Anolis sagrei: one gene and its partner. The protein of the gene in region 1 binds, or shares a complex with, the protein of each later gene. Links are inferred from orthologs where the notes say so. Each region holds a gene or a part of one and is shown in the gene's direction. Other genes may lie near its edges.

Evidence for each region. The genes of interacting proteins can lie anywhere in the genome.
Region 2: the proteins of MPP1 (region 1) and GYPC are in contact, whole or in part, in an NMR structure (PDB 2EJY), measured with the Homo sapiens proteins. The link is inferred for Anolis sagrei from reciprocal best matches to the Homo sapiens genes MPP1 and GYPC. Residues at the interface, in NP_002427.1 of Homo sapiens: Pro81, Met82, Gly83, Ile84, Leu86, Lys87, Leu88, Leu100, Val130, Gln134; in NP_002092.1 of Homo sapiens: Arg123, Lys124, Glu125, Tyr126, Ile128.

What each region holds. Positions count from the first base shown.
Region 1 is NC_090030.1:15,266,607-15,277,486, reverse strand, and holds the start of MPP1 (55 kDa erythrocyte membrane protein), read left to right. Parts: upstream 1-6,581; 5' UTR 6,582-6,818; coding exon 6,819-6,923; coding exon of another isoform or gene 6,924-6,927; intron 6,928-10,880. UniProt on the Homo sapiens protein: Essential regulator of neutrophil polarity. Regulates neutrophil polarization by regulating AKT1 phosphorylation through a mechanism that is independent of PIK3CG activity.
Region 2 is NC_090021.1:225,762,355-225,773,449, forward strand, and holds the start of GYPC (glycophorin-C), read left to right. Parts: upstream 1-5,697; 5' UTR 5,698-5,907; coding exon 5,908-5,941; intron 5,942-11,095. UniProt on the Homo sapiens protein: This protein is a minor sialoglycoprotein in human erythrocyte membranes. The blood group Gerbich antigens and receptors for Plasmodium falciparum merozoites are most likely located within the extracellular domain.

The sequences.
Region 1 (10,880 bases):
TAAGTGTATAAATAGTGGAGTATAAGAACCAGGAGATGCTTAAATACCTTAAAGGTACCAGATCTCTTTTGATCAATGAGCCCTGGTTAGAACTTCGGTTGAAGACCACCAACGAATACCTGGTGCTGTTGGATGTATTTCAAAGGAAGCAAAGGGAAAACTACCTTTGAGTATTCCTTGCCTAAGACATTCCTATGAAATGTATGTGGTTGCCACGAGTCAACAGGCAACTTGAAGCCACAAACATATAGAATCCAAGGATCTTAGTCCAAACATATTCCACAACCATGCTCCTTAATCTCACTGGATTCACCTGAAATTCATAAAGTTGTGTGTGTGCATTTTGCAGTATTAATTGTAAAAATATACAGAGCAATTAATTCCCACTGACTTTACAAAAGACCTGCCCTTGGTAGGAATGGAAAGCCTTTACTTTTACCTGTGTGTCTAATTGTTTCGAGACATTGAATGTTTGCTTAGTGTCTCTATATTTGCTGGAATGCACCCTGAGTCCCCTCAGGAAGATTGGGTGGAATACAAATAAAGTGTTGTTATTATTATGTTATTAAATGCCCAGAGTATAGATTAGCCCAGTTGCCTATATTCTGGATACTTCCTACGAGATGAGAGTTTAAATGTTATTAACTAATACTACACCAGTATAGATGCTATAATATTTTTAAAAAATTACTTTGGATGGGATAGCAATTAGTTGTCCATGACAGAAAGGATATTATTATTATTATTATTATTATTATTATTATTATTATTATTATTATTCCAGAGGTGTCTCATGAAATTATATTTCATTCTAATAACAGTATATACACTACACATGTAATAAATAATAATAATAATAATAATAATAATAATACTTTAATTTATATTCCACTCTATCTCCCCAAAGGGACTCAGGGCGGATTCCAAACATAAAAGGCAAACATTCAATGCCCGAATACAACAACAATACATCCATATTAACAAAATGTATACAACCCAACATATAAATATGAATTATAACTTAACTAAAATTAAATTTAAAAAAAACATAGCCTGTTTTAACAGACATAAGACAAAACACAAATACATACATATTGGTGTGTTGTTTTTTGTTTGCTTGTTTGTTTACAGTATTTTTATTCCTCCCTTCTTACCTCGAAGGGGACTCAGGGTGGATCACAGAACACATATACAACAAACATTCAATGCTGTTATACACAGACAGGACAGACAACAGTACAGATAGTGGTATATAGACATTTTTCATCTTTGGCATCCTAGAGGTTGTGCTCAGTTCCGGCCACAAGGGGGTGCTGTCACTCCATCCTCCATGTCGAAGAGCCTTGTTCACAGACTTCCTCCTTTTTTTATCGCTGGCATTTTCCTTATGGTGTCATTAAAATACCTCTCCACTTAAGCAGTACCTATTTATCTACTCACAGTTGTTTTCGATCTGCTAGGTGGGGAGTGAGCTGGGCTGAAGGTTAGGCGCTCACCCCTGACCTGGACTTTGAACTGCCAACCTTTTCATAGAATCATAGAGTTGGAAGAGACCTCGTGGGCCATCCAGTCCAACCCCCTGCCAAGAAGCAGGAAAATCGCATTCAAAGAACCCCTGACAGATGGCCATCCAGCCTCTGTTTAAAAGCTTCCAAAGAAGGAGCTTCCACCATACTCTTGGGAAGAGAGTTTCACTGCTGAATGGCTCTCACAGTCAGGAATCTCTTCCTAATGTTCAGATGGAATCTCATTTCTTGTAGTTTGAAGCCATTGTTCTGTGTCCTAGTCTTCAGGGCAGCAGAAAACAAGCTTGCTCCCTTCTCTCTATGACTTCTTTTCACATATGTATACATGGCTATCATATCTCCTTTCAGCCTTCTCTTCTTCAGGCTAAACATGCCCACCTCTTTAAGCCGCTCCTCATAGGGCTTGTTCTCTTTTAATTGGCAAGATTTATGGCAGCTGGTGGTTAACCTGCTGTGCCAAAGCCTGGCACTGTTGTTGTTGTTATTCCAAGTGGTCTCATGAAATTGTATTGTATTATAATGGCAATATATACACTATACATGCACATACATACATATTGGTGTTGTTGTTGTTGTTGTTCCCAGTGGTCTCATGAGATTCTATTCCATTCTGGGTCCTTAGTAACTATAAGTGAGGCATCAATTCAACAGATGCAACCCATTTTAACACTGCAACATAAATGCTGGGAAAATGTACACAGACAAGCTGGCAACCTTAACAGGATTTTATTGATTTAGGGGTCTGTGTCTCCTTTCTCTTTTTACTTTCCAGAATTCTCATAGATTGAAGAGGATCTTCCAGAAGTGATCAGCGTCTTTTGATTACCAGACCCAGGAATCTCTCCGTTGAGAAGCCCCACTTTGCGAAGAAAGTCTTGGGGAGCTTGGAAAAGTTACTTTTTAGGACTATAATTTCTTTAGCCAGCAAGGACACTGCTCGGCTGACTAGGGTTGTTTTGCTTCTCTAAATGCAATTTTTCAGAAGGAGGCATATTACCCTTTCTGTTATTGCAAAACAGTTGCAATAACAGAAGTTCTGTCACTGTCCGTCACTTTGCGACAAACAATGTTGTTTAAGATGGAGCAATTCTGGTGTGGACAAGAGTGAGTATCTGTGTTTCAAAGATAGAGATATTTGAACAGGCCAGTAAAATAAAAATGTTTACATTTACATTACTTGATGTAATCAATAAAATGTCTGCTGTTTTGACTCTCTGTCATTTGTTGAAATGCTTTAGAGCAACTCCAGATGGATTGAAATGTTCCAGATTTTGGGTTGCCGTGAGTTTTCCAGGCTGCATGGCGATGTTCCAGAAGCATTCTCTCCTGACGTTTCGCCCACATCTATGGAAAGCATCCTCAGAGGTTGAGGGATCTGTTGGAAACTAGGCAATAATAATAATAATAATAATAATAATACTTTATTTGTACCCCGCTACCATCTCCCCAAGGGACTCGGTGCGGTTTATATATCTGTGTAATGTCCAGGGTGGGAGAAAGAACTCTTGTGCATTTGAGAAAAGTGCAAATGTTGCAATTGGTCACCTTGATTAGAATTGAATAGCCTTGCAGCTTCAAAGTCTTGCTGGTTGCTGCCTAGGGGAATCCTTTGTTAGGAGGTGTTAGCTGGTCCTAGGGTCAGCTAACTCCTCCCAACAAAGGAGTTCCCCAGGCAGCAAAAACCAGGCTTTGAAGCTGCAAGGCCATTCAATTCTAATTAAGGTAGCCAATTGGAACATTCATACTTGCCTCCAACAGACAAGAGTTCTTTCTCCCACCCTAGACATTCCACTGATATATCAACCCCACTTGCCTAGTTTCCAACAGACCTCACAACCTCTGAGGATGCCTGCCACAGATGTGGGCAAAACGTCAGGAGAAAATACTACTGGAACATGGCCATACAGCCCAAAAAATGCTCAGCAACTCCAGCAATGAAAGCCTTCAAAAACACATTGTTCCAGTTTTTGTTCCTGTTCTTTCCAATTTTCTTCTGGGGTCCATTCACATTGAATAATTTCTATGAGCTGCTGGCACACTAGTAATTATCCATGCTATTTTAAGATATAACAAACCATTTTCACAGCCAAGACCGTTTAAAACCTATTAGAAGACAGAATACAAAAGATCTGTATTTCAAAGCTGATCACAGGGTGTATCTGCACTGCAGAATTAATACAGTTTGACACTATTTGAACTGCGACGTCTCAGGTGCTGTTTCCACTGCCATACAATGCAGATGAACAACACTGAACTGCATTACATAGTAGCATAGATTCATATAAGCCAACTTGATGCAATTAATCTGCATTCTGAAACTGTATTATATGGCAGTGTAGATAGGAGCCTCAATGTATTGGAATCCTGGGAATTTTGTTTATAGCACTGAGCCATGGCACTGAAAGTGGTCTCAAACTGCACTAATTCTATAGTGTAGATCAATGTTCCTCAATCTAGAAGTCAGGACCCCGTGGGGGGTGTTGTGAGAGGGGTGTCAGAGGGGTTGCCAAAGACCATCAGAAAACGCTGTTGGTCATGGGGTTTCTGTGTGGGAAGTTTGGCCCAATTCTATCATTGGTGGGGTTCAGAATGCTCTTTGATTGTACGTGAACTACAAATCCCAGAAACTACAACTCCAAAATGTCAAGGTCTATTTCCCCCAAGTTCTACCACTGTTCACATTTGGGCAAATTGAGTATTCATGCCAAATTTCATCCAGATCCATCATTGTTTGAGTCCACAGTACTTTCTGAATGTAAATGAACTACAACACCCAAAACCCAAGGTCAATTCCCACCAAACCCTTCCATTATTTTCTGTTGGTCATGGGAGTTCTGTGTGCCAAGTTTGGTTCAATTCCATCATTGATGGAGTACAGAATGCTCTCTGATTGTAGGTAAACTACAAATCCCAGCAACCACAACCAGGGGTGGCTCGTCCATTACGCGAAATAAGCGGTCGCAGAACACTTTTTTTGCCAGGGGCGCAGAGGTGCCTCTGTAAATGCCCCTTGACCGCCGCTTGAGGAGCAGCTCACAACAGCCCTAGAAGTCCGGGGGGAGCCTCGGCTTTCTTGCCTCACCGCTGGGCGATCCTCTTCCCAAAGGGGCCGGGCCCTTGAGCCTCGCCTAGCCCCTCTCCTTCCTGCTCCACCCAGCCACAGGGTGCGCGAGCAGAGCCGGCACTCAATCGTTTTCCGCGTTCGATCCCTTCCCCATGATTGGCTCCCTTTCACGATCCCCCGGCACTCCACCCGCCTCCTCTCCTCTCCCCAATCTGTGGGTGGGCCAAGGGGTGGAGCCGCTGCGCCTGGCCCGCTTCAGGTCCGGCCGGCATGTCTGAAGACCCCAGCGTGCGCACCAAAAGTCGCCTCTTCTCCTGACTTTCTCTTCAGCCATTGGGACCGAGAGAGAGAGAGAGAGAGAGCCCCTCCGGCTGGAGGTATCTCCCACCTCCGCTCCCTCCTTTGTTTTTGCACCTACCTACAGGAAAGGTGGGCATCTCCACCTCTCTCTCTCTCTCTCTCTCTCTCTTGGTCCCACTGGCTGAGGAGAAAGTCAGGAGAAGAGGTGACTTTTGGTGCACACGCTGGGGTCTTCAGGCACGCCTCCAGACCCAAAGCGGGCCAGGCAAGGGAGCAAGTGCAGCAAGTGCAGTTACTGGGATGTATAGTTCACCTACAATCAAAGAGCATTGTGAACTCCACCAATGATGGAATTGAACCAAATATGGCACACAGAACTCCCACAACGAACAGAAAATATATATCAGTGATTGATTTGAGGGGGGAGGGGGTGCCAAAATACTGTTTGCTTACCATTGAAAATTATCTAGGGCCGCCTCTGATGGCAGGAACACTTTTCCTCTGGGTGGGTCTTCATCTTTACTCTCGTGGCTTGTTCTCGGTTGTCTTGCAGCTCTTCTGATGTCTGAGGTGGAGTCTCCATTGGCCTGGAGAGCCCAGTTGAGGTGGTTCAGTTCATCTTGGAGGAGGTGGGGTTCGCAGATTCTTTTTGCACGGTCTGCCAAGGCTTTAATGGTGCTTCTTTTTTGACTTGGGTGATGGTTGGAGTTTTTATGTAGATATCTATCTGTGTGTGTGGGTTTTCTGTAAACGGTGTGACCCAACTGTTGATCTGGTTTGCCCCTTTTTTCCCAGTTTCCAGCAGACCTCACTACCTCTGAGGATGCTTGCCATATAGATGCAGGCGAAACGTCAGGAGAAATGCCTCTAGAACATGGCCATATAGCCCGAAAAAACCCACAAGAACTGAATAATAATAACTACAACCCCCAAATGAGAAAATCAATCCTCCACAACCCCACCAGTATTCAGATTTGGGCATATTTTGTGCCAAATTTGGTCCAGTGAATGTATATACAGGCACGCCTGGCGGGGATGAGGGATAGGGCCTTCTCGGTGGTGGCCCCCCGGCTGTGGAACGCCCTCCCTGTAGACATCAGACAGGCGCCCTCCCTTATGACATTCCGCAAAAGACTAAAGACATGGTTATTTGAGAGGGCGTTCGACTAAGTGCTACAATTGGCAATGATGACTGGAACGGAATATGGATAACGAGATTGGTTATGATTCTACGATGAGACGGCGCGGATGATTTAGTATAATCGTATTATTGATTGTTATGTTGATATTATTGTTGTGATATTCCCTTATTGTAAACTGTTTTTATATGTTGTACACCGCCGTGAGTCGCCCTAGGGCTGAGAACGGCGGTCAACAAATGCAGTAAATAAATAAATAAATAAATAAATATACATCCTGCAGATCAGATATTTACATGACGATTCATAACAGGAGCAAAATGACAATTGTGAAGTAGCAACGAAAATAATGTTGTGGTTGGGGGTCACCACAACAGGAGGAGCTGTATTCAGGATGCCAGAGGATAGAGTTCAGGCGGGGTCAACCTGCGTTCACTGCAGAGGGTGTAGATGCAGCCGTGGGCGGCAGGGGGCGCTGCCGCGTTGCGGGCAAAGGCAGCGGCGCGGCGGGGCTCGGCCGGGGTCTCCTCCTCCTCCTCCTCCTCCTTCTCCTCCTGCGTTGCCTTTGCGCCAAACGGAGGCACCGGGAGGGGCGCTTCCCGGGCTGCCTCCTCCCCGAGAGCCGCCTCCAACCCGCCTCCCTGCCTGCCTTCTTCCCCGGAGCCCAGCCCCGCCGCAGCCCTTTCCGCCTCGGGACGCCCCAGGGATCGGGGCCAGGAGAAGAAGAGAGCAGGGCTATCCCCATCCATCCCTCCATCCATCCATCCCTCCATTGATCCACCGGGCAGCATGACGCTCAAAGGCGGGCAGGCAGGCGACGGCGCGAGCCGCATGAGGACAGTCCTCTCGGACCTCTACCTGGAGCACCTGCTGCAGAACAGGCCCAAGGCCGAGGCGAGTTGGGATGGGGTGGTATGGAGAAGGGGGGGGGGGTCAAACTGGAGGGAGGAGGGGGTGCACGGTGTGTGTGTATATGTGTCCCCACTTTCGCCTTTTCCTGTTTGGGGCTTCCCATGGGGAAAAAAATGCAAATGCATGCTAATTTATGCTAATAATGCAAACATATGCAAATGCATGCTAATGCCCGTATATAAAAACACACCACTTTTGCATCTCCCTCTATACAAATAGGCCCAAATAATGCAAAATAATAGGTTCTTGTAGGTTTTTTTCAGGCTATAGGGCCATGTTCTAGAGGCATTTCTCCTAACACCTCTCAACAGAACATTTTCCCAGGCTCAGCCAAGCCTGCATGCTAATACCCGTATATAAAAACACACCACTTTTGCATCTCCCTCTATACAAATAGGCCCAAATAATGCAAAATAATAGGTTCTTATAGGTTTTTTTCAGGCTATAGGGCCATGTTCTAGAGGCATTTCTCCTAACACCTCTCAAGAGAACATTTTCCCAGGCTCAGCCAAGCCTGCATGCTAATACCCGTATATAAAAACACACCACTTTTGCATCTCCCTCTATACAAATAGGCCCAAATAATGCAAAATAATGGGTTCTTGTAGGTTTTTTTCAGGCTATAGGGCCATGTTCTAGAGGCATTTCTCCTAACACCTCTCAACAGAACATTTTCCCAGGCTCAGCCAAGCCTGCATGCTAATACCCGTATATAAAAACACACCACTTTTGCATCTCCCTCTATACAAATAGGCCCAAATAATGCAAAATAATAGGTTCTTGTAGGTTTTTTTCGGGCTATAGGGCCATGTTCTAGAGGCATTTCTCCTAACACCTCTCAACAGAACATTTTCCCAGGCTCAGCCAAGCCTGCATGCTAATACCCGTATATAAAAACACACCACTTTTGCATCTCCCTCTATACAAATAGGCCCAAATAATGCAAAATAATAGGTTCTTGTAGGTTTTTTTCGGGCTATAGGGCGATGTTCTAGAGGCATTTCTCCTAACACCTCTCAACAGAACATTTTCCCAGGCTCAGCCAAGCCTTCAAATGCTAATGAAGGTGATCAGCTGAAACATTCACACCTAGCTTCAGCAGAGAGCTCTTTGCCCCACCCCAGTCATTCCACAGATATATAAACCCATTTTCCTATTTCCAACAGAACTCACTGCCTCTGAGGATGTTTGCCATAGATGCAGGCGAAACGTCAGGAGAGAATGCCTCTAGAACATGGCCCTATAGCCCGAAAAAACCTACAAGAACCTAGTGATTCCAGCCATGAAAGCCTTCGACAATACAATGCAAAATAATCATTTATACTAATACTAATATATGCACATACTATATGTGCCCATATATACGTAATATGCCACTTTATGCAATTGTCCATCTCTAGATAAATAGCCCCCCCCCCCCCCCAGTGGCGCAGTGGGTTAAAGCACTGAGCTGCTGAGCTTGTTGATCGAAAGGTCACAGGTTCGATTCCGGGGAGTGGCGTGAGCTTCCGCTGTCAGCCCTAGCTTCTGCCAACCTAGCAGTTCGAAAACATGCAAATGTGAGTAGATCAGTAGGTACCGCTCCGGCGGGAAGGTAACGGCGCTCCATGCAGTCATGCCGGCCACATGACCTTGGAGGTGTCTATGGACAACGCTGGCTCTTCGGCTTAGAAATGGAGATGAGCACCACACCCCAGAGTCAGACATGACGGGACTTAGTGTCAGAGGACTACCTTTACTTTTACCTTAGATAAATAGGCCTATTTACGTAAAAATGTCTTATTTATGCAAATGTGCTAATTCATGCAAATAATGCTAATATATGCAAATCACTCTCTCTCTCTCTCTCTCTATATATATATATATATATGCCCATTTATGGAAACTTGCCACTTTCTGCAATTGTGTCCATCTATACAAATAGATCCATGAGGTCAGAAAGAATCGGAGACGACTGAACGAATGAACAACATACAAATAAGCCCACTTATGCAAAATACCCATTTATGCAAATGTATTTATGCAAATAATAGTAATATACAGGAGCCCCCCGGTGGCGCAGTGGGTTAAACCCCTGTGCCAGCAGGACTGAAGACCGACAGGTCGCAGGTTCGAATCCGGGGAGAGGTGGATGAGCTCCCTCTATCAGCTCCAGCTCCTCATGCGGGGACATGAGAAAAGCCTCCCACAAGGATGGTAACACATCAAAACATCCGGGCGTCCCCTGGGAAATGGCCAATTCTCTCACACCAGAAGCAACTTTCAGTTTCTCAAGTCGCAACTTGAGAAACTGCAAGAAGCAACTTGCAGTTTCTCAATATGCAAATGCATGCTAATATATGCAAAAAATACTATATGTGCCCATATATATGAAAACATGCCACATTATGCAATTTTGTCCATCTATATACATAGGCCGGTTTATGTAAACTACCAATTTATGCAATATATGTCTTATTTCTGCAAATATTCCTAATATATGCAAATACTTAATATATACAAGTACATGCTATATATGCCCACATATATATATAAACATGCCACTTTATGCAATTATGTCCTTCGATACAAATATGCCCATTTTTGCAAATATGCCCACTTATGCGAAATCCTTATTCATACAAATATGTCTTATTTATGCAAGTATTACGAATATATGCAAATACTAATACATACAAGTGCATGCTATATATGCCCATATATATATATATACTTATACAAATACCACTTTATGCAATTATGTCCATCTATACAAATATGCCCATTTTTGCAAATATGCCCCCTTATGCGAAATCCTTATTTATGCAAATATGCTTTATTTATGCAAATGTACTCATACATGCCAATCATGCTGCATGCCTTTAGCTCTTTCTCACAGAACCTGGTTGAGGGAGGCAGGGAAATAGGGAATCTCATCTGAATGAATGAATGAATGAAAGAATGGAGTGTCATCCTGGGAGTTGTAGTTTGACCAAGTCTGTCTCCTTCTCTGCCTCGGCCCACTACAACTCTCAGGATTGTGTAGTACCGAGACATAGATGTGGGTTGTCAAACGGTGTCCGTGCTACATGCGAGATGCACTCTTCTCAATGTGATGCTTTGGGTTACAAGCATGCTCACTTGCTCTCCATTTTTAGGAGGACTGAATGCATCTACAGAAGGCTCAGGCAAAATTAGGTCCTCCGGGTGTTTTGGACTCCAACTCCCACCATTCCTAACAGCCTCAGGCCCCTTCCTTTCCCCCCTCAGCCGCTTAAGCGGCTGAGGGGGGAAAGGAAAGGGCCTGAGGCTGTTAGGAATGGTGGGAGTTGGAGTCCAAAACACCCGGAGGACCTAATTTTGCCCATGCCTGATCTACACTTACTACTTGAATGCTTGGGAGCCAGGATAGTTATAGTTTGAGACCCTGTAGTGGATCCTAGGCATGAAAGAGATGTGTTCCAACAACCGTAATGTGTCTGCTTGGATTGTTATCCTTGGAGGGAGCTTTTGGTGCTTTGCTGCTGCGGAAGGAGCCGGCTCTTGTTTGTGCCGCAAAGCTGGTTCGAACTGGAAGTGGCTGTCGCTTGGGCTGCGGAGCCGAACCAATGGGAGCACGAGAAGCCTCCTTGCGCAAGGCAGGCCACATTCATCTCTGTCGGTATCGAGTGCAGATTTTCACCCTCGTTTCGGTTGAACCTGGGACATAACTCTCCCCAGGCAGCCGCTTTTCCCTGAAGCCACCGTCTCTGCAAAACATCACATTATCTAAAAATCACAGCAGTGTGCGCGGGAGAGATACAATTCTAACTTCATTAGGATCCCAGTGAAAAGTGGGACAAAGTTACTTTTCAAAAGCAGGGCAACACAATAGAAATAATGCTACATTATTGGTGCAATGGATAACATTTAGTTCCCAACCTTCCTAATGCCGCGACCCCTTAAGACAGTTCCTCGTGT
Region 2 (11,095 bases), on another chromosome or scaffold:
TTGGCTCCCCTCTTTAAAGGCAAGCAAAGTGTCTGGGTATGAAATCTCCAATTGAGGATGACAGCTCATGGATTTTCCACTTGCTGGGGGATTCTGGAAGCTGCAATACAAAAAGTAACATTCCTAAGATCTCTTTTTTCTAAACCTTCCCTGAAATCTCATTTGTTTCATACTGGCTGAGCTCACATTTGTTTGCCATTTTTCCATCAGTTGGTAGAAAGGCTGGATAAAGTTTACAAAATAAATAAATGTATTAGTGCCTATTTGGGTGTGCACAGGGTTTTTCTCCTTTTGAAAAAAAGACATTTTTGCTTTAAAAGTAAAGCTTTAAAGACTGCTATTTTATCTATTCTGTAGCCTTTTTTAACTTCTTGTTTTTCAGTATTCTATTTTTTAAAAAATAAATGCTAACCATTTTGTTGACAAGGTATGCTTAGACTAAATCCAGGTAAGACACAAGTTTTACTGTGGGTGATTGTGTCCGATTGGTTACGAGGGGCCATTTTTACTACCACCCACCCAAGAAAGCACCTTTTGCCTGAAGAAGTGGTATTATTCATATATTCCTAAAGTGTTTTGTATAATATCAAGAGAAGCTTACCTGTCAGATGGTCTAAATCTCAAATACATAAAGTAAATATTAAGTACATAATTACCCAGGGAAAGCAATATCAATTTAAGATCAGAGCTGAGTTTTGGATATGTAAAGCAATGTTGCATAGAGAGAGAACAAACTTGTTCTCTTTTCCTTCAGAGGGCAAGATCAATTGAGACAGGTTTTGGTGAAATATTGCAAGAAAAATCTGTGTAGCCGAAGTTGTTTGCAACAAAACACCTCTCTTTGCTGGTGATGTTTCACTGGAAGCTGGAAGGCGATCTCTCTATGTGACTCTGCATTGCAGAGCTTGGACTGGGTTGGACTAAATACCATCCTGGATTGTTGTAGGTTTTTTGGGCTGTATGGCCATGTTCTAGAAGTATTCTCTCCTGACATTTCACCTGCATCTATTATTTATCCTCAGAGGTAGTGTTTATCTCTGACAGGCCCGTAGCCAGGATTTTGATTCGGGGGGGGGGGGGTGAGTTTGATTCGGGGGGGGGGGGCTGAGTTTGATTGAAAGAGGGTCTACCCTAGCAAACCTTTTGTACTGTTACCCCAATACCCCCATGCATATGGGATATATTGAGTATGGTGATCAGATCATGATATGAATAAACATAACAGTTTAAATAATGCACTAGTAAGGCCTTCTCGCGGACCACCATGAGAATTTGGGGCGGAGGGGGGGGGGCTGAAGCCCCTCAACCCTCCCCCCCCCCCAGCTACATGCCAGATCTCTGAGGATGCCTGCCATAGATGTTTTTATAGGTTTTAATGTATGTTGTTTATAATTCTGTTTAAATTGATATTGTAATTTTTACATTGTTTTAATTGGCACTGAATAGCTGCCTTTGTTCTTGAGTCACCTTCAGGTTTGAGAAAGGTGGGGTAGAAATATCATAAGATAAATAAATAAATAAATAAATAAATAAATAAAGAGATAATACTTCTAGAACATGGCCATACAGCCTGAAAAACCTACAACAACCCAGTGATTCCGGCCATGAAAGCCTTTGACAACACCATCTTAGATGTCTTCCGGCAGTTCAGTCTTCTTATTCTCTGATTCATATCATTTATTTGGGCAGAGAATCATTGCACTTTTCAGAAATGGATCACTGATGCATTCAGTGTGGTATTGTTCATGGGAGCTAGTATAGCATAGCGGTTTGAATGTTGGAATAGGACAGCTGGAGAACATGGAAACTCACTTGGTAGCCATGGGAAAATCCCACTCTCCCAGCCTCAAAGGAAGACAATGGCATCTTTAACGGAATAAATCTTGCCTTGGAGAGGTGAGAACTACCACATGTATTCTAGATCCTCGCCCTTCTTGGCTGATCAAACAGGTCAGAGGGGGATTAGCAGAGTGGGTGAAGGTGGTGGTCAATGCCTCCTTAAAAAAGGCAGAGTTCCAGTTTGCCTAAAGGCGGCAGTTATGAGACCTACATTTAAAAAACCATCCCTGAACCTCTCTCTAATGGACAATAGGCCTGGGTAACAACGCAAAAATTTGTTTCTAAAATCGATTTGTATTTGGGGGGTTTTTTTGTTTCGATATTTAAAATAATTACAAAATTTTCCTTTTAAAAAGTTCGATATTTACGAAATTTCGTAAATGGTAAAAAATTAACGAATCGATTTCCGAAACAATAATGAATCGATTCGTTAATGACGGACGCAACCGCGAAATACGCTAAAAAACCTCCAAAAACTTCTGAAGCTTCCCTCTCCCTCTGTTCTTGACTGTTGGTGTGATATTATAATTTTTTTTCACTAATTAAACCATAAAACTGGCCCAGACATGCGGAAATAATAACGAAACGACCTCAGAACAATAACGAAACGAATACAATAACGAAATACGAAGCATTTACAAAACGTGTTTAAAAATTTGTTTTTTTAATGATTGCTCCAGAATGGTTCGTTATCGTTTTGTAATTAAAAAATTAACGAATTATTAACGAATTACGAATTAACGAAACGAAACCGCCCAGGCCTAATGGACAACTATCGGACAGTGTCCAACCTCCCCTTTCTGAGCAAGGTTTATCTATTTGGATCCATTTCAATCTGGTTTCAGTCTTGATTATGGAAGAGAGACAGCTTTTGTCACCTTGGGGATGACCTATGCAGAGAACTAGACAGGGAGAGTGTGTCCCTGTTGGTTCTCCTGAATCTCTCAGTAGCTTTCAATACCATTGACCACAGTATCCTTCTGGGTTATCTCACAGTGATGGTACTGGGAGGCATTGTTTTACAGTGGCTTCGGTTCTTCCTGGGGCACCCTACCCAGAAGGTGGTGCTGGAGGACTCCTGTTCAAACCCCTGGCCATTGACCTGTGGGGTTCCTCAGGATTCCATTTCGTCCCCCATGCTGTTCAACATATACATGAAACCGCTGGGAGAAGTCATCTGGAGTTTTAGAGTTGGGTGCCACCTATATGCAGATTATGCAAGACAGAGGTGCTCCTGGTCAGTCAGAAGGGAATAAGGATACAGCCTGTGTTGGATGGGGTCACACTCCCCTTGAAGACATAGGTCCACAGTTTGGGGGTCCTCCTTGTCTCAGTGCTGAACCTGGAGGCCCAGACATTTGCACTGGCCAGGAGGGCCTTTTCACAATTAAAACTTGTGCTCCAACTGTGCCTGTTCCTTGAGAAACCAGATCTGGCCATGGTGGTACATGCCTTAGTTACATCCCATCTGGATTACTGTAATGCACTTTATGTGGGGCTGCCTTTGAAGAGTTCTCAGAAACTTCAACTGGTCGAAAGAGATGCAGCCAGGTTGCTAACTGAGGCTGGCTACAGGGAGCGGACAACCCCCCCCCCCCCCCCCAATTGCAGTAGCTCCACTGGCTGCCAGTGGACAGTTCAAAGTGCTGGTTATGATCTTTAAAGCCCTAAATGGTTGAGACCAAGACTATCTGGCTGACCGCATCCCCTTGTATGAACCTGCCCAAGCCCTGAGATGTTCAGGAGAGGCCCTTCATTCAGTCCCACCTCCATCTCAAGCTCAGTTGGTGGGAACAAAAGAGTGAGCCTTCCTTCTTTGCCCATTGACTCTGGAACTCCCTGGCAAGGGAAATCAGAATGGCCTCCTGTTCTTCCAATGTTCTTCCAAACCTTTTTATTCAAACAGGCATTTAAAGATGAAGATGTTTAAGATCTAGTCAGGAGATGCTATAATTTTTAACTTTGAACATGTTTGATGAATTTTAACTGAATTTTAAAATACTTTTTCTGTATCATTCTGTTTTAATATTTGTATATTGTATATTTTCAATTGGATACCAATGCTTTTATGTCAAGCTGTTTTGAGCCCCCTTTGGTGAGATAAAGCAGGGTATAAATATAATAATCATCGTCGTCGTCATCATCATCATCATCATCATCATCTAAGCCAAATTCCACAAGGAATACCATAATATAATGAACAGAAAATTAGGCTCCAAAGAGACAGGATGCAGAACAAATACTACCATCAGCTTGAATGACCGGTAGACAACAGAGGCAAACAAATGTTAAACTAGGTAAACAAGGCTGTAGTCAATAGTATATTAAACCTCATCCATGCAGATAAAATGCACTGAGTGATTTCTAATGTATTTTCTGGCTCCATTGGAATGAGAATGTATTTTAAAGGATAAAATTGTCCCACATGCACAGAATTGTTAGTGGGTGCAAAATAAATAGTATTTCAAAATAGCCAAAGAACCAGATATATATTTTACATAAGGTGTGTGCAGGGGCAGCTCAACCATTACGCAAAGTAAGCATTTGCAGTATAGTTGATTTTGCCCAGGGGCGCTCTTGAGACACTCTTGGGGGAAAATAGACCTTGACATATGCGAGTTGTAGTTACTGGGATGTACAGTTCACCTACAATCAAAGAGCATTCTGAACTCTACCAATGATGGAACTGAACCAAATATGGCACACAAAACTCCCACGACAAACAGAAAATATATATCAGTGATTGGTTTGGGGGGGGGGGTGTCAAAATACTGTTTGCTTACCATTGAAAATTACCTAGGGCCCCCTCTGGGTGTGTGTCAGAAGTGACACACACATTTTACATAAGGTTAAGTAGATCACAGACTTCCCTTTCTGATTTCATAGCACAGGAGAATTTGGAACCAGCATTACTTCAGTTTGAAAGTGAGCCTCTAAACTGCAGCAATGCACACAAGATTTTTCTGCACTCTCTCTTACAAACACCTATAAAACCTGCTACATCAGAGGCAAAAGTGGAATGGGGACATATACAGCCAGCCTACTGAATCCACAGATTCTGGCATCCACAGCTTGAAAATGTTTTCTTAAAAATCCATTTTTACCATTTTGCCATTTTACGACACAATTGTATATAGTAGGATTTGAGCATCCATAGATTTTAGGATCCATGGGTGGACCCTGGACCAAGCCCCAGCAGATTCTAAGAGCCCTTTGTAATACTTTTTACCCTCTCAATGCAGAGGCCCCAGTGGCACAATGTGTTAAACCCTTGTGCTGGCAAGACTGAAGACCAACAGATCAGAGGTTCAAATCCAAGGAGAGCTGGATGAGCTCACTGTCATCTCCAGTTCCCCATGCAAGGACATGAGAGAAGGCTCCCACAAGAATAATAAAACATCAAAAACATCCAGGAGTCCACTGGGCAATGTTGTTGCAGATGGTCAATTCTCTCACACCAGAAATGACTTGCAGTTTCTCAAGTCACTTCTGACATAAAAAAACCCTTAATAAAAACAAAACAAAAGACAAGGACATTTTCCCCTGTGTCTCTATAAAGAAATCCTGCTGCAATAAAGCAGCAAAATAATAGTCCATTTTAATTCCTCCCCTTGATTTGATAAAACCAGCATCCCTTCCACCTTAAAGTTCACTGTTGTTTATGTTGTGTTTTATGTTATGTTTTATGTTGCTGTACAAGATGCATTTAGCTTTTAATTTGGAGTAAGGCTGTATTTGCTTCAACTTATTGCTTGCTGAATGTGGAAAGGTCCTCGCTGGCTGGGAACAGGAAAAAGAAAAGTAAAAAACAGTTAGTGCTTATCTAAAAACTGGAGCCCCTCCCCTCCTCATATGAGTTGGAGAGGCCAAACGGAATGACACATGGGCTGTTTCCTTTTCCAGTGGTAAATGGTCAAGAACCAGAGAAGAGACATCCGAACAAGAGCGGCTTTCTCCTGGTTTCTCCCCAGCCCTTCCAGCTGTTCTGCTTCACCCAACTTTGGACTGCGGCTAGGAAAGCAAGACTGTACAAAAAGGGAGGGGGGCACTTTTCTGAATGCATAAAGAATGAATTCCTATAACAGTTCAACATCTGCTCCGCGTGAGTACTCATTATCAATTCCCCCTCCCACGGTAGTACTGTAACGGCAACTGTACAACCCTTAAGGTTAATGTTAATTTGTTTAAAAGAACTATTTTAAAAGAAACTTTGTATGCAGAGATCTCCTTTCTAAAGGCTGTTCTTCAAACTTTGCTTCCTTTCTTTCCTACATTTAGCAGTGTGGGAGGGTTTAAGCAAAAAGAATGAAAGCATGTGTGTAGAAGTTAAAGCAAGGATCCAAAGACAACAGTCATTTTCATCGATTTTAACTCTAGGTAAAAAAGTTTTGAATCTGTTACAGAGAAAATGTAGCTGAAACTAGAATGAATTAATTGCATTTCTTTTGTTTATTCATTTTTTACTGACTTTCAGATAACTGTTTGCTAGTTTTGCCTCTTACACACACTCTCTGCTTCTCTCATGGGACATTTTACTACTTCACTCATATACAGACAGGGAACTATCTCTGTGTAACATGAGAACCAAGCCGTAAACTGTCAGCCTATATTTAGCCACAATGCATTTTTGTTTTCACAACCTTTGCAAAGCAGGCCTATGAGAATGGAATGGGGAGGGAGCATATTTCCTGTTTCCGTAGTTGCATATTTTTCAGTGAAAAGTTATACTATGATAGATGTTAGAGTGGGGAGAACTAGGATAGGTGAATATGAAAAAGAAGCAACAAACTTTCTACTGTAAAGTTTATGAATTCTTTGAGAACTGAGAAGTTAGTATAAGTTTCCAACAGTGTTACCAAAGTGGATTCCAAGCTAGAGATCATATTGTGAATATGGGAAAGCCTGAAATTTGGTGAGAACACATTTGGTAATATTACAACAGAATTAATAATGGCACAGTCATATTTATCATGTGTTCATTTAGCATGGTGCAATAAATATATAGCTGCATTTTCAAACCTTCCTAAGAAAAAATGCCCCAAGGGCCTTACAATCTAAAATGAACAGGGAGGAAAACAAGCAGAAAAGGAAGTACAGTAAGTCAGAAATGTAGCAAAGGATAAATTGAGCATTGCTCATTCACTGTGTCATGGATCTTGTACAAAGTGGACAGCTGTTCCATTAACCAACAGCCTTTGTTCCAAATGTTTGACATAAAAGAGTTCTTAGAAAATTGGAGAAATCAGTTCTTAGATAATTGGTAAATTTTGAGAACAGGTTTTCTGGGCACAAATGAGGAGAAAGAGGCAAACACGTGTGTCTTTCTTCTCCTCATTTTATTTTAAGCACACTTCCAATCCAAATAGTTACATGGTAGGCTGCTGAAAACATAAGGTATACATAAATGGCCTATACTGTGTAATGATGAGCAGTTTCAAAAGAACTCCACATAAAAGTATATAATGTTTCTAATTTTGCTTGGAAAGATTTTTAAAATGTACTGTAATTACTTTTACAAAAATGCAGAAACCAAAATAATAATTTCTCATTTCCCCTTCCCTCTTCCTCTGACTGTTTTAATTATTGTAGCCCCATCTTATTTGCCATGTCTGCATTTGACTAAGGCTCCTTCTACACCACCCTATATTCCAGAATCTGATCCCAGATCATCTGATTTAAACTGGATTATACGAGTCTCTACTGCCAGACATTCTGGGATAAGAAGATAATATGGCAGTGGTTCTCAACCTGTGGGTCCCCAAGTGTTTTGGCCCTCAACTCCCAGAAATCCTAACAACTGGTAAACTGGCTGGGATTTCTGGGAGTTGTAGGCCAAAACACCTGGGGATCCACAGGTTGAGAGCCACTGTAATATGGGATATAGGGGCCTAAGAGCATAGAAAACACTTTAATATGCCACTGACAGCCTTTGTACAGATTAGCCATGTATGTATAAGCAAATGGTGCTATATGTGTGATGGCTTGGATCTTACAAGCAGAACTTTGAACAGTCCCTTCTTCATTGGCTTTTGTGTCTTTTTATGGACTACAGCTTCTAGAACCTGGAATGCCCACTGGTTGGGAGACTCTGGGCCTTGCAATAAATCTCCTTTAAATTACTGAGTGGAAGTGTGCAGAACCTGTGCATGCAGGTCAAAGGCACACCTAAATGTGCACAATAGGAGAGTCACCCTCAAAGCACCACATTTTCAGGAGGCACATCTAGGTGCTAAGACAGAGAAAAGGGAAATGTTTTTGAACTTCATCCTATGTTCTTAGGGTCTATGGAAATGAAATTAGATTCTAGTGGCTTTCTGTGTCCGTTGCATAGCAAAAAGATGGAATGTCCAATCTGAATCAAAGTTTTTTTTAAATTCATAATGTAGAGTAAGTCTTATTGTGCGCCTTCAAGTAATTTCCAACTTCTGTTGATTCTAAGGTGATCCTATTGTGCAGTTTTCAGAAGTTGAGAGTGTGTGATTTACCCAGGGACACCCAATGGATTTCTATGTCAGAATGAGGATTAGAACCATTGTCTCCAGAGTTGTAGTACAAGACTTAAAACACAATGGCACACTGCATTATCCATATGCTTACCACTTAGACCTTGGACTTTTCAAACATGTCAGTGGGAGAAAGAAACATTGGCCTACCACAGGATGGGCACAGCACAGTTGCAATATCTCATGTAGGCCACACAATAAGATATTATTGCTGCAGCTCTTAACCAGCCTGCATGAGTATTTTCTAAACAAGGCAGGTGTCTTGTCACTACGGAAAGTCTCAGAATCAGCAAAACATCTTTTAAACAGATTGAAGTGGCAGCAGCACCAGCATTATCCGTCCTTTCTGCCAATCTGACACTAAAGTTTGCTTACAATAATTTTAAGAAAACCTAAACAACATACATATTATTTGGGGTCAGTTTAATGACCTCAAAAATCATTAAATTGACTCCAAATTAAAATCAGTTAAAATATAGCTATTAAAAATAGCAAATAGACAAGACAGTAGAATTGTTTAATGTCATTTCCCTCACACAATATATTTATTATATTTATTTATAATAAATTGATAGCTGTTATCTTTGTTTACAGTAAATTGATAATACTTGCACAATGGCCCATTGCTCTAGAGCAGTAAAATTATTATATTTATTTCTAATGGGCTGCACTCTACTATTTAACAAATGACTCATTTTTCAAATTCAGTAGTAGATATATGTTACCCAAAGAGAAAAAGGAAGGATTTGTGGAATGATTGATTTGCAACCAGGAACTCAACAGACCCTGCTAATGAAACATCTGCCATATCAAGCCAACAGACAGCAAAATAGAAATCCTTCTTAATGAAGTTACTCTAAGAAACCTCAGTAATTACTGTCATTGAATATATACTCAGTGGAGACCACATGTCCATTGGGTCAGCTGCCTGTTTTTTGGATGAAGGTACGTGGGCTTTCAGAAAAGCCAGACTGCGTTGAGTATTGTAATCCCTACAGCAGCCAAATTTTCACATAATTTGTTCTCCAACATATGTTTCACCACAGGGATCCAGTGAATTAAAATGAACAATTCTGCAGTAAAATGTTGTCAGTTTAATATTTCTGTGCAGCCTTAACGTTGTAATGCAATTTCCACTGCTGCCACCTCTCTTTCCTCACTCTCATTTCTGGAGTGTCTGATTCCCCAGTAAACTCTGTTTCAGTTTGTTATCAGCAGCTGCCTCCTGAAGACTTTTTGGTCGTTAATGTGGAGTGTCTTGAGAGTGATAATGCATGATGTCATAAACTACTAATGATGAATCCCATATTTAACATATATTTGGTCCGAGTTAATTTATTTTGGCTCTATTAAAAGGTGTCTACCTGGAAAGCCCTCAAACGGTAGCAGTGTAGCCTTGGATGAGATCACACACTATGTACCTTCTCTTTCAAACCTCAGAGAGGGAAGTAGTGAGCTCTACTGAGGAATTAGACATATTTATTTCTTTGACTTTTTGTTTCTCTAATATCTACATCTGTTTCTTAAAAACAGAAACAACCCATTTTTTCTATAAATCATAGAATCATAATTAGAATACATTACAAATACCATTGAATCCAACCTCTGCCATGCAGGAATACACAATCACAGTGCTCCCAACAGATGGCTGTCTAGATTCTGTTTAAAATCTCCAAAGAAGGAGACATTCCAAAGTAGCCTATTTCACTATTGCACACACTTACTATCAGGAAGTTCTCCCTAAAGTTTAGAACTTCTCTTTTCTTATAATTTGAATCCAGCCAAGCAGGCATGTAGCCGGGGGGGGGGGGGGGGGGGGGGGGGGGGGGCTTGAGGGGCTTCAGCCCCCCCCCCCCCCCCCGCCGAAATTCTCATGGTGGTTTGCAAAAAGGCCTTACTGGTGCATTATTTAAACTGTTATGTTTATTCATATCATGATCTGATCACCATACTCAATATATCCCATATGCATGGGGGTATTGGGGTAACAGTACAAAAGGTTTGCTAGGCTAGACCCTCTTTCACTCAGACTCAGCCCCCCCCCCCCAAAACTCAACCCCGCGAAACACCCCTGAAAAATCTTTAGCCCCCCCCCCCCCAAAACGAAATCCTGGCTACGGGCCTGCAGCCAATCCTCAAAAATCAGGTCATTGTAAATTATCTGATGACTGTAATGAGTATTGTTCAAAATGTAAATCCTTCTCAGCTCCAGTATCAACCTAACTATAGTATTTCAAAAAAAAAAAAAAAAAAGCAAAACAAAAAACCCATGCCTGCATACTATTTACATATGCTATAGATAGCAAAATACAAAGCTGGATCATATTGAGTCAATCAATTGTTTTCTCTAAATTGTGGTTTTTTAAGATCTATATTCCTAGATATCAGTCCGTAACTCAGACCATTTTTGACTGCTGGTCATGATAACATAAGATGATAGAGACTCCAGTCCAATATAAAATGATTCTTGTTTTGAAAAACTAAACTCAATGGTGCTGCCTTTTCAAAATGTTAGCAATGCTCTAGGGCCCCAGACAGACTCCTTCCTATCATTTGGTTGGTAAAGCTCAGGTCAGTATAATTTACTTTTCTCATAGGTGTCAGCACCTATCATGTGACTGTATGGAAGTTATGCAGCCTTTATTTTGGGTCTCCTATCTGAAAGGGATGTACTATCGCAAGATTGCCTAGGATGTTCAGTTTTGCTATTTAGTCTCCCAACAATGCCAGTCTCTTTATTCAGTATTCCCAAG